2 linked regions of the Anolis sagrei genome follow. The protein of the gene in region 2 purifies or fractionates together with the protein of the main gene of each other region. This does not show direct contact. Links are inferred from orthologs where the notes say so. Each region holds a gene or a part of one and is shown on either strand. Other genes may lie near its edges. The genes, in order: ERC2 and RIMS1.

Region 1 (8,203 bases), on a different chromosome or scaffold from region 2:
GTCACACACATTTCCAGCTTTAGAAAAATGACCTACTTAGGTCCTGACAACCTGTTCCTGATATGCCAAAGGAGAATCTTTTTTCCATGTTTTGGCAGATGCAACCAGTATCTCTAAAGCACTGTATATTTAAAAAAAATACCATGAAGAATATGGTTAGATCAATTATTTATGCTATCTCCATCCATAGATGAAGGAATCCTAAGGAGAGGAAAAATCTTAGAGTCATAGAATCCTAGAGTTGGAAGAGACCACCAGGTCCGCCCATTCTGTCATGGAGAAATCAAAGCCCTCTTGACAGACAGCCACGGAGCACCTTCCCAAACAAAGGGAAAGCCAAAGTAACATCTGGTAAGAGGAGGAACCACTAAATCTGGTTTCTGCCTCCTGCAGAATTCTGGGGTTTGTAGTTTAGTGAGGCTGTTAAATGCTCCTCCCTAAACTACAAACCCCCAGAATTCTGTAGGAGGCAGCAACCGGATTTAAAGTGGATTCATTCTCTAGTATGATGAGATCCTTAAAGAGAGAAAGGGTGCATTTCTCTCACAGTTATGACAAATCCTTCTGTATGGTGGGGATCAGCTTGAGTCTTAAGAGGGAGGTCAGACCACAAGCTGCCCATGGTCTGACCTGCAGACTGTCTCTTTGAGGAAACATATGTGAGAGAAATAGAGACAGAAGCCACCCAAATACTAAGGCTGAAATTGCCTAAGATCCCTCTATACATCACGGAGAGGTTTGGAAGTGTCCAATGGAGATTGTGTGTGTGACTCTCTAGGGGTGCATCTACACCAAGCATGGGCCAACTTTGGCCCTCCAAGTGTTTTGGACTTCAACTCCTACCATTCCTAACAGCCTCAGGCCCCTTCCTTTTCCCCCTCAGCCGCTTAAGCAGCTGAGGGGGGAAAGGAAAGGGCCTGAGGTTGATAGGAATGGTGGGAGTTGAAGTCCAAAACACCTGGAGGGCTGAAGCTAGCCCATGCCTGGTCTACACTGTTGAATTAATGCAGTTTGACCCTGCTTCAACTGCCATGGCTCAGTGCTATGCAAACCTGAGAATTATAGTTTTGCAAGGTCTTTAGCCTTCTCGATCCTATAGTGCTGGTGCCTCACCAAACTACACATCCCATGCTTCCATAAGCATCCATTCTTCGGTGTAGATGCACCATGTGACTCCCTGGCAACACTTATAGTGGGGACCCCCCTCTGGTTGGTTTTCACTGCAGTGGAGAAAAAGGGGAGAGGCTGGGGAGAGTAGCAGGCAAAGGGTTTAGAGAAAGCTGTGATTTCTTCTCTTTCTGTCCCTAAAGCCAACCAGGAAACTCGCTCTGACCAGCAGCTCTGCCCTCCTCCTGGCCACACCAATTGGCTGAGCCCAGGGCCAGGAGCCCATCCCTGCCAACGCCAGTGGCCTGTGGGCTTGTCCATCAAAAGGGACATGTCAATTCACAGGGAGCCCTGGCCCTCCATCCTTCCATCCTTTCCTCCCAGGTTGAGCAGGTAGCCGCTTTAAAAGGGACCAAATGGAGGGAGGGGTCTCTCCATCCCACGCCTGATGGCTGCACATCCTTGTGCAAAACCCAGACAGCATCTATCATCACAGACACAGAGAGCTCAAGGGGGGGGGGGGCACAGGTCACCATCCCTTCTTCCAATCATCCCAGATGGGACCACAATGTAACCCCTCCCTCACTCCTAACAAGCCATGGATCCATTTGTTTATTATATAACTGGTTTATTTTAACTGCTCATTTTTAACTGTTTGTTGGTACTTGTTTTAATTTTAATTTTTTGTCATAGGACATGGCATTGAATGTTTGCCATTTTTTGCCTGTGGAAGCCACCCTGAGTTCCTTCGGGGAGAGAGGATGGGTTAAAATAAAGTTGCTATTATTATTATTATTATTATTATTATATAAATAGAACAGATCCAATATATTTGAATATAATAGATGTGATATATGTAAATTCAACAGATTTAAGATAGATCAATAAAATAGTTTAAATATAATAAATATAACAGAAGTAATAGATAGATAGATAGATAGATAGATAACAGATGGAATACATTATATTATACTGCTTCTATAATATAAAAATCGATGCAATATATTCAAAAATAACAGATTTTATATGCATAAATATAATAGGTGCAATATATTTTAAAATAGTCGATTGAACATATATATATATATATATATGCAATATATTTAAATTTATCCAAAGTTATATATATATAGATTGAATATATGGGAGTATATATATATAGATTGAATATATGGGAATATATACTGCATCTATAATAAAATACCATTTCTTCTCCTTCCTGGGAAACCCCTAAGATGATGAAGGGGAAGGAAAGAAGGAAGGGAGGGAGGGAGCAGCACTGATTCATTTCCCCCCTGCAAATATCTACTATTTACAAACCCAGGCATCGTTTCCTAGTAGACAAGAACGCTGTAGGGATGGCTCACAGGCATCTATCTAGATATATTGTACAGAGAAATGGAGAGATGGATAGTGTATCTGGAGAGATGGCTACAACAGCCCATGCCAGGCACAGCCCAGCCAGCAAGGCAACCAGGCTGCTGTTTTCGAGGAGGGATTGCACGAAGGCATCTGCTTCCCTGGAAAGGGAGAGGCACTGGATGGACTCCTTACTATGATCCAGAGGGATGCAAGCTCCCCTTTGGGCACACCGAGGGTTGGATGACAGCCATGCCTGTTCCTCTCTCTCTCTCTCTCTCTCTCTCTCCCCATCCTCAGGCCCCTCGGCGAAGGTGTGCCTCCCAAGCGGTGCCCTTTGCTTACCTTCCCCACCATCGTCTTGCACCTTCCTCTTCTTCTTCCTCCTCTTCTTCCTCCTCCTCCTCTTCCTCTTCCTCCTCGCATGGAGCCCTACACCATCACGGCTTGCGGCGTCGCAGGGAGGGAGGGAGAGAGGGAGGAGGCCAGCGCCCGAGGAGACCGACCCACGGCGCCGCAGTCCGTCCCCAGCGGGGAGGCTCCTCTCCCGGGCTGCCTGCCTGCCTGCCTTGCCTGCCTTGCCCGCTCTCAGCCTCGGCCAGCTCGCAGCCCGGCCAGCGCCTGACTCAACATTCCCAGCATTCCCGAGGAGAGAGCGCGGCAATGAGCAGCAGTCGCCGCTAGGGGCGGTAGAGAGCTGCTTCGGGAAAAGAGGCTTCTGAGAGAGAGAGAGAGAGACAGAGAGAGAGAGAAGGGAGAGAGCAAAGCGGTCCTTGGCGTGCCAGCCCCCTCCCTGGATGGAGCCCCCCCCCCCCGCCCCAAAAAGGTATATATACACCCTTTAACAGCTGGTAGTCGCTGTGGTTTGAAGGCTCAGAAAACACATTTACATTGAAAAGTAACGTTGAAAAATATTTTATGAAATATATTGAATTGAATATTAGATTTCAATATATTACATCTTATATATATATATATATATATATATATATCTCCAATCTGTTATTATTTCAATATATTACATCTATCATATTGAAATATATTAAATCTGTTATATTTAAATATATTACATGTATTATTGTATTATTATTATTATATTATAGATGTAATATATATATATATTATTTTAAAATATATTGCATCTATTATATTCAAATATATTAAATCTGTTATATTTAAATATATTACATCTATTATTGTATTATTATTATTTAATATATTAAAATATGTAATATATTTTAAAAATAATATATATGTATATATACATCTATTATTTTAAAATATATTGCTTCTATTATTTTTAAATATATTCAATCTGTTATAGTTCCATATATTACATCTATTATATTTATTTATATATTAAAACTGTTACATTTCAATATATTACATCTATTATATTTAAATATATTAAATATGTTATAGTTCAATATATTACATCTATTATATTCATATATATAATCTATTATATATATTATTAATTATTAAGCGGACAAAGGTCAGTGTGCTGGAAGAAGCAAAGACCACCAGCATTGAAGCAATGGTCCCTGCCATCAACTCCGCTGGACCGGCCATGTTGTCCGGTTGCTCTACTCCCAACCATGCTATTTGCCTGCAAGACGCGGACTGTCTACAGACATCACATGCAAGTCCTGGGATGATTCCATCAGCGCTGCCTCCGGAAAATCCTGCAAATCTCTTGGGAAGACAAGCGGACAAATGTCAGCATGATGGAAGAAGCAAAGACCACCAGCATTGAAGCAATGGTTCTCCACCATCAACTCTGCTGGACTGGCCACGTTGTCCAGATGCCCAACCACTGTGTCCCAAAGCAGTTGCTCTACTCCGAACTTAAGAACGGAAAACGGAATGTTCGTGGACAGGAAAAGCGATTTAAAGATGGGCTCAAAGCCAACCTTAAAAACTCTGGCATAGACACTGAGAACTGGGAAGCCCTGGCCCTTGAGTGCTCCAGCTGGAAGTCAGCTGTGACCAGCAGTACTGTAGAATTTGAAGAGGCACAAATGGAGGGTGAAAGAGAGAAACAAGGTAGGCGCATCAAGCCAATCCCAACTGAGACCGCCTTCCACCTGGAAACCAATGCCTTCACTGCAGGAGAAGATGCAGATCAAGAATAGGGCTCCACAATCACCTACAGACCCACCAGTACACTGATCTTGGGAAACTATCCTACTCAGACAATGAGGGATCGCCTAAGAGAAAAGAGAGATCTATAATATATATCCTCTACATTATATTTAAATACATTGCATACATGGTACATTTAAAATATATTGCATATTGGTTGTATTTTATTAAATATACCGCATATTGATTATACAGTTGAATAAATATACTAGATTTTTATAAACTATAGTAAATAAATGTGTTGGTAACTGAAAATATTGGCTATCTGGATTTAAATGCATTGCATATATGTTATATTTTACTAAATATATTGTATCTAGGTTATAATATATTACCTATTGATTATACAGTTTCATAAATATATTAGATTTGTACAAATCATAGAATCATAGAATCAAAGAGTTGGAAGAGACCTCATGGGCCATCCAGTCCAACCCCCTGCCAAGAAGCAGGAATATTGCATTCAAATCACCCCTGACAGATGGCCATCCAGCCTCTGTTTAAAAGCTTCCAAAGAAGGAGCCTCCACCACACACTGGGGCAGAGAGTTCCACTGCTGAACGGCTCTCACAGTCAGGAAGTTCTTCCTCATGTTCAGATGGAATCTCCTCTCTTGTAGTTTGAAGCCATTGTTCCGCGTCCTAGTCTCCAGGAAGCAGAAAACAAGCTTGCTCCCTCCTCCCTGTGGCCTCCTCTCACATATTTATACATGGCTATCATATCCCCTCTCAGCCTTCTCTTCTTCAGGCTAAACATGCCCAGCTCCTTTAACCGCTCCTCATAGGGCTTGTTCTCCAGACCTTTTATCATTTTAGTCGCTCTCCTCTGGACACATTCCAGCTTGTCAATATCTCTCTTGAATTGTGGTGCCCAGAATTGGACACAATATTCCAGGTGTGGTCTAACCAAAGCAGAATAGAGGGGTAGCATGACTTCCCTAGATCTAGACACTATGCTCCTATTGATGCAGGCCAACATCCCATTGGCTTTTTTTGCTGCCACATCACATTGTTGGCTCATGTTTAACTTGTTGTCCACGAGGTCTCCAAGATCTTTTTCACACGTACTGCTCTCGAGCCAGGCATCCCCCATTTTGTATCTTTGCATTTCGTTTTTCCTGCCAAAGTGGAGTATCTTGCATTTGTCCCTGTTGAACTTCATTTTGTTAGTTTTGGCCCATCTCTCTAATCTGTCAAGATCGTTTTGAATCCTGCTCCTGTCCTCTGGAGTATTGGCTATCCCTCCCAATTTGGTGTCGTCTGCAAACTTGATGATCCTGCCTTCTAACCCTTCATCTAAGTCATTAATAAAGATGTTGAACAGGACCGGGCCCAGGACGGAACCATGCGGCACTCCACTTGTCACTTCTTTCCAGGATGAAGAGGAAGCATTGGTGAGCACCCTCTGGGTTCATCAATTTAACCAATTACTGATCCACCTCACCGTAGTTTTGCCTAGCCCACATTGGACTAGTTTCCTTGCCAGAAGGTCATGGGGGACCTTGTCGAAGGCCTTACTGAAATCCAGGTACGCTACATCCACGGCATTCCCCGCATCTACCCAGCTTGTAACTCTATCGAAAAAAGAGATCAGATTAGTCTGGCATGACTTGTTTTTGATAAATCCATGTTGACTATTAGCAATGACCGCATTTGTTTCTAAGTGTTTGCAGACTGCTTCCTTAACAATCTTTTCCAGAATCTTGCCTGGTATCGACGTGAGGCTGACCGGACGGTAGTTGTTTGGGTCATCCTTTTTTCCCTTCTTGAAGACTGGGACCACATTGGCCCTCCTCCAATCTGCTGGAACTTCTCCTGTTCTCCAAGAACTCTCAAAGATGGTTGCCAATGGTTCCGAAATGACTTCCGCTAGTTCCTTCAGTACTCTTGGGTGTAGTTGATCTGGCCCTGGGGACTTGAACTCATTTAGAGCGGCCAGGTATTCCTGTACGACTTGTTTCCCAATTTGGAGTTGGATGTCCTCAAATCCCTCATCCACTCCGTCTTGCTGAGGTTGAAGATGACTTTCTTTTTGTGAGAAGACCGAGGCAAAGAAGGTATTTAGTAGTTCTGCCTTTTCCCTATCCCCTGACAGCGTTGCCCCATCTTCTCCTCGAAGAGGCCCAAACTATATTAAATACATAAAGATATACATAACTGAAAATATAAGATCTCTCCCACCTTAGAAAACTGACTTCCCACGTAATATTTGTATGAAATATATTACATAAAGATTATAGTATAATAAATATATTAGATTTTTATCAAATAAATATTTAAACACATACATAATCGAATATGTATGTGTATGTGTGTGTATCCCACCTAAAAAACTGACTTCCATTTAATAAAATATAATATATTTAATAATTCTATTAAATGGGAAGTCACTTTTAGGTGGAATATATATATATAGAGAGAGAGAAATTATGTATCTATGTACATGTTTAAATCTTAACTATATTTTATGTTTATAAAAATTGAATATATCAACTATACAAAATATCAGTATATAAGCACAAACATAACTGAAAATGTAGAATATGTATATATAACAGTGCCCCGACCCCACCACACCCATTGCAACAACTACCACCCTCAATCAGCCTTAAACCCCCTCTTCTACCTATATATCTCCAATCTTAAAATGTTGACTTCCCATTAAATGTTTTATGAAATATATTGAATGCATGTTTTATGAAATATGTAAACATATACATAACTAAAAATGTGGAATACATCTAACAAATACACACTTTAATAAGAATAATACACTTTATTTATATTCGACTCTATATCCCCAAGGGGACTTAGAGTGAATTACAGTATATACATATATAAGCAAACATTCAAGTCTTTTATACAGTGAACAATGACATACAATATGCAAATGAAAGCAAAGGTTTCCATTTCCATCCCCGGCATCTGGAGGTGATGCTCAACTTAGCCATGGAGAGGTGATCTTGTTCCATTTTCCAAACTGAGGAGCCTGGTGTCCATGGACTCCACTGGTCATATTTTGCTGGCATGGTTGTATGGCTGCCTTTTGCCTTCCCGCCAACATGGTACCTATGGATCTACTGATATTACATATTTTCGAACTGCTAGGTTGGCACAAGCTAGGACTGACAGCCCAGAGCTCACCCCAACCCACAATTTTGAACTGCTAACCATCTGGCCAGCAATTTTTCTGCTGCTAGCGGTTTAACCCTCAATGCTACTGTAGCCCAATATACATTACAAAGTACAGCAAGATGTAAGTAAGCAGAAATGAGCAAAATAGTGCTATGTGACACAAACCCACCTGTTACAAAAACTACCACTCATAATCACCCTTAATACCCTTGCACCTATAGCTAAATAATATTTATACACCTACACACCACCTTAAAACTGACTTCCTATTTATTATTCAAGTTGAGTATCTCTTATCTGAAATGCTTGGAGACAGATGTATTTTAAATTTCAAAATAGGTGAGCTCTATTTGCATATCTGCACATAATGAGGTATCTTGGAGATGGGATCCAAGTCTAAATAAGAAATGTGTTTACACCTCATTATGCAGATAACCTGGGGGTAATTTTATACAATA
Region 2 (7,286 bases):
ACGAGGTCTCTTCCAACTCTATGATTCTATTACTGGGCCCAGGTGTATATTTGGACAACAGCACCTGCCACCACTATTGCAATTATCCAAATTCCATTCAAATTTCAGAGCGAGAACAGACAACATCACAATAAGAAACAAGGAAACACCCCAGGTCTATCCCTGGCAATATACATGGCAGAGAAGTTCAGAGAACACAGGGATTCCATATTATAGATGACACAGCTAGCTGGAGGGAGAGGAGAAGAACAGACAAATACTACAACTCACACCTTGGAATGCATTGCTTGGCATTCAATGCTCCGTCTCCACACCCCCCCCCCCCCAAAGCCTCACACTGTGTTTACACATCTTTTGGGAAGCCACCAATCCTCCAAATAAACACATGGGAAGCAAATGCATAGAGAGGAAAGGGGATTTTCTTAGTACCTCTACCAACAGGAAGCTGACATGTTACAGATACACAGGTATAAATATACAGATTGCATTCTGCTACCTAGGCCCAGAGGATGTTAGATGGAGACAAAGCCTCCCTCCCTCCCTGTACACAGGCCCAATAACCCTGTTTAGATGTAGCAATCCATCTAATATCGTGCTATTAGATCTCAGGACACTTATTGGTAGAAGGATAATGAATCTGTTCATGCATGACATGGGTGAGGAAGAGAGGCTGTAGCACAGCAGAGCTATGGGCAGTTTGAAATATGGACAGCTCCCAAATATGGCATCTCCCAGCACTCTGGCATCCCCATCACCACACACACACACTTTTACAGCTAAAGACTTAGGTTAGGGGATGAAGTCAACGGATGATAAGGTCCCACCAGTGGATAGGCACAGCCATTTCTGGGAGACCAGACATGCTATTGATTGCATTTATTGTATCCCCCATGGCATCTCTTCAAAACATGCCTTAAATCCACCACCATGCTGTACACACATATTGGTAAGATAAGAGGAGGGGGAGATTGAAAGGATTGGAAAGGAGGGGGGACAACTATAGAGACCCAGATGGAGAATTCCTGCAGGTGGTTGAGGGAACCAGGCACAAGCCAGCCACCAAGGCCCAGGGTGTGGACGTGCTTGTGCCAGGCGGGGGCAGCATGGCCTGTTCAAGGCTCCGGTGAGGGAAACCCCACCCTGAATGACCCTCCCAAAATAGGCTGGGTTGACTTGAGGGTCTGATGGGGTTTTCCCCTAAAAAAAACCTTTCAAATTCTTCCAAACGTTTGCTTTAACATCAAAATAAAGCCAGAAGTCATGGCTGATGCACCTTTTGGAGAGAACCCCAGAGGAGGCTAAGGGTTGGATTGTGGTTCAGGGGTCTCCTCACAGAGGAAGAGTTATCTCAGGAGTGAAGAGGAGGGAGGGAGGAAGAGGCACTTGAGGCTCTTCCACACAGCCCTATATCCCAGATTATCAAGGCAGGCAATCCTACATTATCAGAGTGTGGACTCAGGGCCCTTCTACACAGCCCTATATTCCAGAATATCAAGGCAGGCAATCCCACATTATCCGAGTGTGGACTCAGAGCCCTTCCACACAGCCCTATATCCCGGTATATTAAGTCAGGAAATTTCTCAATATCTGAGTGTGGACTCAGGACCCTTCCACACAGCCCTTTATCCCAGAATACCAAGGCAGGCAATCCCACATTATCTGAGTGTGGACTCAGATAACCCAGATATTGTGGGATTTTCTGTCTTGATATTCAGGAATATAGGGCTGTATGGAAGGGCCCTGGGTTGAGTCCACACTGCCATATATTCCAGTTCAAAGCAGATAATATGGAATTGATATCTTGGGATATAGGGCTGTGTGGAAGGGCCTTTGGATAGGGCCCGAGTGGGGCCTCAAGCCAAGCCAGGCAGCCCTAGAGCCCCTTTTCCCCTGCCCCCCCCTTTCCCCCCTGACCCCACCCCGCCATGCATGGCCCATTCATAAAACTCTCCCTCTCCTCCCTCCCTCCCTCGGTGGCTGACAAGACCAGATCCAGCCCACCCTCCCGCGAGGAGAGAGAGAGAGAGAGAGAGTGAGCGAGTGAGTGAATGAATGAACCAGGGAGAGAGGAGAGGAGAGGGAGGGAGGGGCCGGCCTGGGGCTTACTTGAGCATGGCCTCTTCCTTCTCCTCCTCCTCCTTCTGCCGGTCCATCACGGCCAGGATGATGTTGCGCTCCTCCTCCGTCAAGTGGCTCAGGTCGGGCAGCTCCGGCATGGGGGGCGGCACGGCGGGGGGACGAGAGGCGCGCAGCCCCACCGAGCAGGAAGAAGAGGAAGAGGAAGACATGGTGGTGGTGGTGGTGGTGGTGGTGGAGGGCTCCTCTCCTCTCCCCCCTCCTCCTCCTCCTCTTCCTCTTCCTCCTCCAACGCCTTGGGACCCGGGCGCGACGCTAGCCAAGCACGCCGCCGCCACCTTCTCCTCTTCTTCTTTTTCCTTCTCTTCCTCTTCTTCTTTTTCTTCTTCCTCCTCCTCCTCCCGCTACACTGGAGCCCTGTGTTCATGGGCAGCGGCAGCCAGCAGCTCTGGGGAAGCAGCAGCAGGAGAAGCAGCAGCAAGAGGAGGAGGAGGAGGAGGAGGAGGAGAGGCGGAGACCCGGGCGCCGTTCATGGTTGCTCCTCGCCTCCGCCCCAGAGCCGCCGCCGCCGCCGCCGTTGTTGCCCCTGGCTCTCTCCTCGCCCTTTGGCTTCGGGGCCTCAGGCGGATCCGGGGATGCCCCGCAGCCTCGGGCAGCCCAGCATCCTCCTTCCCTCTCCTCCTCCTCCTCCTCTTCTTCAAGGCTCCGGGAGGAGGAGAAGGCAAGGAAGGGAGCAGCAGCAGCAGCAGGAGCCACGGGTGGAGCTCAGGTCCTTCGGTGCACTGTCAGGGCTGGAGGGGGAGAAAGGAGGGAGGGAAGGAAGGAAAGAAGGAAGGAAGGAGGATGCAAGGAAGGAAGGAAGGAAGGAAAGAAGGAGAGAAGGAAGGGAGGATAGAAGGAAAGAAGGAAGGGCGGATGCTGCCGCGGCTCCAATGCTCCACTGCTGCTGCTGCTGCTGGGAGCGAGCTACAGGGAGGGGAGGGAGGGAGGAGGGAACTGGGTGTCACTTAGGCGGAGTCCACACTGCTCCACTCCCGGGTGATGCTCAAGGCTCTCCTCTCTCTCTCTCTCTCTCACTCACTCTCTCATCTCACCCACCTTCTCTCTCCCTCGCTTCCCTTTCTCAGCTCTCTCTATCTGCTCTGTTTCTCCCCTCCTCTCTCTCTCGCCCTCTCCCTCTTTCCATACCACGCTGGAAATATACATAGACACCTTTCTCTTTCTCTCTCCCTCTCTTCCACTCCCTCTTTCCACAGCATGCTGGAAATATACATAGACACCTTTCTCTCCCTCCCTCTCTCTCCCTCTCTCCACAGCAGCTGGAAATATACATACACACCTTTCACTCCCTCCTTCCCTCCCTTTCCCTCCCTTTCAGCACACTAGAAATATACATAGACACCTCTCCCTCCATCCATCCCTCTCTCCCTCTCTCCACAGCACACTGGAAATATACATAGACACCTTTCTCTCCCTCTCTCTCTTTCCACAGCATGCTGGAAATATACATAGATACTTTTCTCTCCCCCCCCCCCCCACCTCTCCACAGTATGCTGGAAATATACTTAAGACACCTTTATTGCCCTCTCTTCCTCCCTGTCTCCACAGCATGCTGGAAGTATACATAGATACCTTTCCCTCCCAGCCTCCCTCCCTCTCTGCTGGAAATATACATAGACACCTTTCTCCCTTTCCCTCTCTTTCCACAGCATGCTGGAAATACACATAGATACCTTTCTCTCCCTCCCTCCCTCCCTCCCTCTCTCCCCACAGCCTGCTGGAAAACTACATGGACACCTTTCTCTCCATCCCTTTCCCTGGGATCCTGTGTATTTCCTGGGGGATATGGGGAGAGTCATTTTTCCAAGGATATGGCTCCTCTTTCCAGGCAAGTAGTCCTGCTTCCCAACCTGCCACAGAAAGGGAGAGACAGAGGGCGAGCAGGTTGGCCTCGCCTTTGGATCAGAGTTCCCTTGGGGTGTGCCAGGGTGAGAGCCATCTCCTGGGCGGTTACCCAGAGGGAGTGTGCTCTCCCCAAAACCCAGTCACAGGTTTTTCCAGGGTTTAGAGGGAGGGCAAGGCTGGTGACCCTAAGGAGTCTGAGGCTAAACCAGGCATGGGCAGATATCCGCCCTTCAGGTGTTTTGGACTTCAACTCCTCCAATTCCTAACAGCCTTAGGCCCCCTCCTTTCTTTTCTTTCCTTTCCACTTAAGCAGGTGAGGGGTGAAAGGAAAGGGCCTCAAACTGTTAGGAATTGGGGGACTTGAAGTCCAAACACCTGGAGGGCCAAATTCTACCCATGTCTGAGCTAAACCATGCTGCTCTGAGCACAATCCAAGGTGGGGATGTGCATCCAAAAAATCAACAAGCCCCCTACTGTATCTGGGATGAATGAGGTTAGGATTCACATTGTAGGGAGTGCCCTTAATTTTTTAGTTCATTTTCTGTGTGCAAACATGGCAGATGCAGCAAATGATTGAAGCATCATGTATGGGAGCAGGCGTGGGAAATGTTGGTATGCTCAAGTCCTGCGTTAGACAGTACTGCTTGGTGGCTCCTGTATCAGTGTATCTATCTATTCCAGTCTTTTGAAAGAGAGCTCTCCAGGGCATTGAACTTGTTTGAATACTCTAATTCAGCACCATGGAAAGCTCCTTTGAAGGTTGGGTTGGAACTCCTTCTTCATTAGCCAGGGCCCACTGAAGCCATTGATTCCTCACCCTTTAGACCAGTGATTCTCAACCTGTGGTCCGCAAGAACTAAAATATGGTCCGTGGCCACACCATTACTACATTGTTGCAACGAGAATTACTGGTCTCGTGAAATCCTTTTATAGTGCCAAGGCTTATTAAATATGGTTTTCTGTGGGTGAGCTGATGGTGACTACTGGATGGCATATGTTCAGTATCAGAAACTAGAGCTGATGTGGTCTATCCAATGTAATTTTCTGAATCAGCACCCCAAATAACCAAACTGAATCTAAAGTTAACCAAAAACTGATTCATAACCCTTTCAGTACTAACGTTGGAGAGTGGTCCCTGGTCAAAGTGATCCCTGGTCAAGTAATCCCTGGTCAAAAAAGGTTGGGAACCACTGCTTTGGACTTAAGTAAATTTCAGCTCAATCCGAAAGGCTTGTCTACGTATTAGTGCCAGTGACATGAAAATAAAATGTATGTGTTTTTAAAATATATCTGTTATTATGGAGCAATTTATAGAACTGATTCATGGATGTATTAATTTATGTCAAAATCAGGAAAAAAATCAGAATATGAATTAGATTATATTCCTTCTTTTTAAAAATTAAATGTTAGCAGGCATGAAATAATAAGATATTTGTTCATCAGAACTGAATATTAGCATGCCAAGTTTGGTACTGAGATACCATTTTGTTAGAAATATCTCTGTATATATATCAAATGGTGTGGAAAACCTTTTCCTGAGTGAAACACAAAGCTTTCATTTCCTTCTAGTACTTATGTATTCAATTAAAGGTGCATCTCCAATCAAAATCATAAGCCCTGTACCTGTCAGGTACCCTGCCCCAGAAATCCCACCCTAGATGGATATCATGTCACCAGAAGTCCTATTTGTGGGTGGGGCAACCATAGGAGGTCATATAAACACCATACAATAGCCTTGTGGATCTGTCAGAAGGCATTTCAGAGCCCTATGATCCATGTGGATGAAAAATGGTCTGAAAAACCTTTCTTTGCCTCTCCCCAGATTGTCTCAGAAAGTCACATGCTTCCTCTATGATCACATGGCTTCCATGTGGGCCTAGTTGGAAATATCCAATTGGTGTAGTTTCCATAATCTTTCCCAATTTGTTTAAAGGACGTAACAGGTGGAAATGGCCCTACACACACAGCCCCCTTCCTGGATTATCCCCTCTATCACCATGTAATGCCTCAGAAAACACATCCCTGGACAAAGGATTAATAGGAAGAAAGCTTAGAGGTTCAGACATTTTGTTTGCCAGTTCATGTCCTGAGAAGACGTTGAGTCTTGAACTACTTCATCAAGGCCAACAAAGCCTGAAACTGTAGTGACAGATGTGAAACTCTAAGCAGAAAACTTTATATAAGTTCTCATAATGCACTTCTTCATCAGGAAGCATGTGAATTTCCTAAACGTGAAACTACATGCTGGATACTATTTACCACCTGTAATGCAGGTAAAAATAAAAAAAAACACTAGTTCTTATTTTGGAGGAATTAGCTTAGTCTTGCAAAAAAGAGGTCCCAAAAAGAACATTCAGCATTCTTTATATTTTAGGAACCAGTAGCAGGGCTGCATAAAGCAAAACAAAAAAGTTAGTGAAGGATCTGTAAATATACTAATGCTTTGTGGATGATGATGTGTATAAGGCACACTCAGCTACACATGATTATTTGGTGGTGGATTTTGGTATCAAATGTATGTTTTAACAACAGCATTTTAAATCATTTTATTTAAAAATATTTTAGGAAGATGACAGTACAGGTACAACCCACCCAAGCCATGTCATCATGGTTGGTCTTCTAAGCTTACACATTAATCGTGAAACAGTGAATATGTCATCAAAAAGACAGACATCTTTAACAGGCTTTACTGTGAGATATACAGTCTATGGGGGTTTGAAGCATTGCCTAAATCACATATAGTATGAGTTATGGGTGATATAACTAGATCTCCTGGCCAAAGTTCACATGAGCGTTTCACCAGGACAAAATATTTAATATCTAGAAAACTGTGCATGTTAAGTGGGGGAAACTTTTTTGATAGCTGTTAGCAAATATGTGCATGATTTTAGAAATCCTCAAAGTCCCCCTTTTTGAATAATGGAACCTCTTTTCTTTTCACAGAGATACCATAAACTATTTTCTACACTGCTAGTGAATTGGAATATTAACATCAGCAAGACTTGCTTTCTTAGAATGGTGGAAACTATGATTCTTTAGAAGCAATGACAGTGAAATACCTCCACATTTTTGTTTTTAAAGTTATTAAACTGCTCTATAACCCCTACTTTAACTTCATTATTAATGACAAAACGATGCACCCCGTGTTGTTTTAATAGGCTCTTTAGAAACTCACAACCATGATCTGTCAGTAATGCTCCAGGTTTTCATCCATCTTGCCTGAAAATAGAGTTAAAGGTTTGGGAACATTTCTTTACCTGACTTACCCTTTAGAACCAAATCCCAGACATATTTAGACAAAATGT

The links.
Region 1: the proteins of RIMS1 (region 2) and ERC2 purify together in Homo sapiens (affinity purification with western blotting; 3 studies listed by BioGRID and IntAct, with this or other methods). This does not show direct contact. The link is inferred for Anolis sagrei from reciprocal best matches to the Homo sapiens genes RIMS1 and ERC2.

Annotation. Positions count from the first base shown.
Region 1 is NC_090022.1:58,446,971-58,455,173, reverse strand, and holds the start of ERC2 (ERC protein 2), read right to left. Parts: upstream 3,137-8,203; 5' UTR 2,812-3,136; intron 1-2,811. UniProt on the Homo sapiens protein: Thought to be involved in the organization of the cytomatrix at the nerve terminals active zone (CAZ) which regulates neurotransmitter release. Seems to act together with BSN. May recruit liprin-alpha proteins to the CAZ.
Region 2 is NC_090021.1:112,632,801-112,640,086, forward strand, and holds the start of RIMS1 (regulating synaptic membrane exocytosis protein 1), read right to left. Parts: upstream 3,064-7,286; 5' UTR 2,289-3,063; coding exon 2,107-2,288; intron 1-2,106. UniProt on the Homo sapiens protein: Rab effector involved in exocytosis. May act as scaffold protein that regulates neurotransmitter release at the active zone.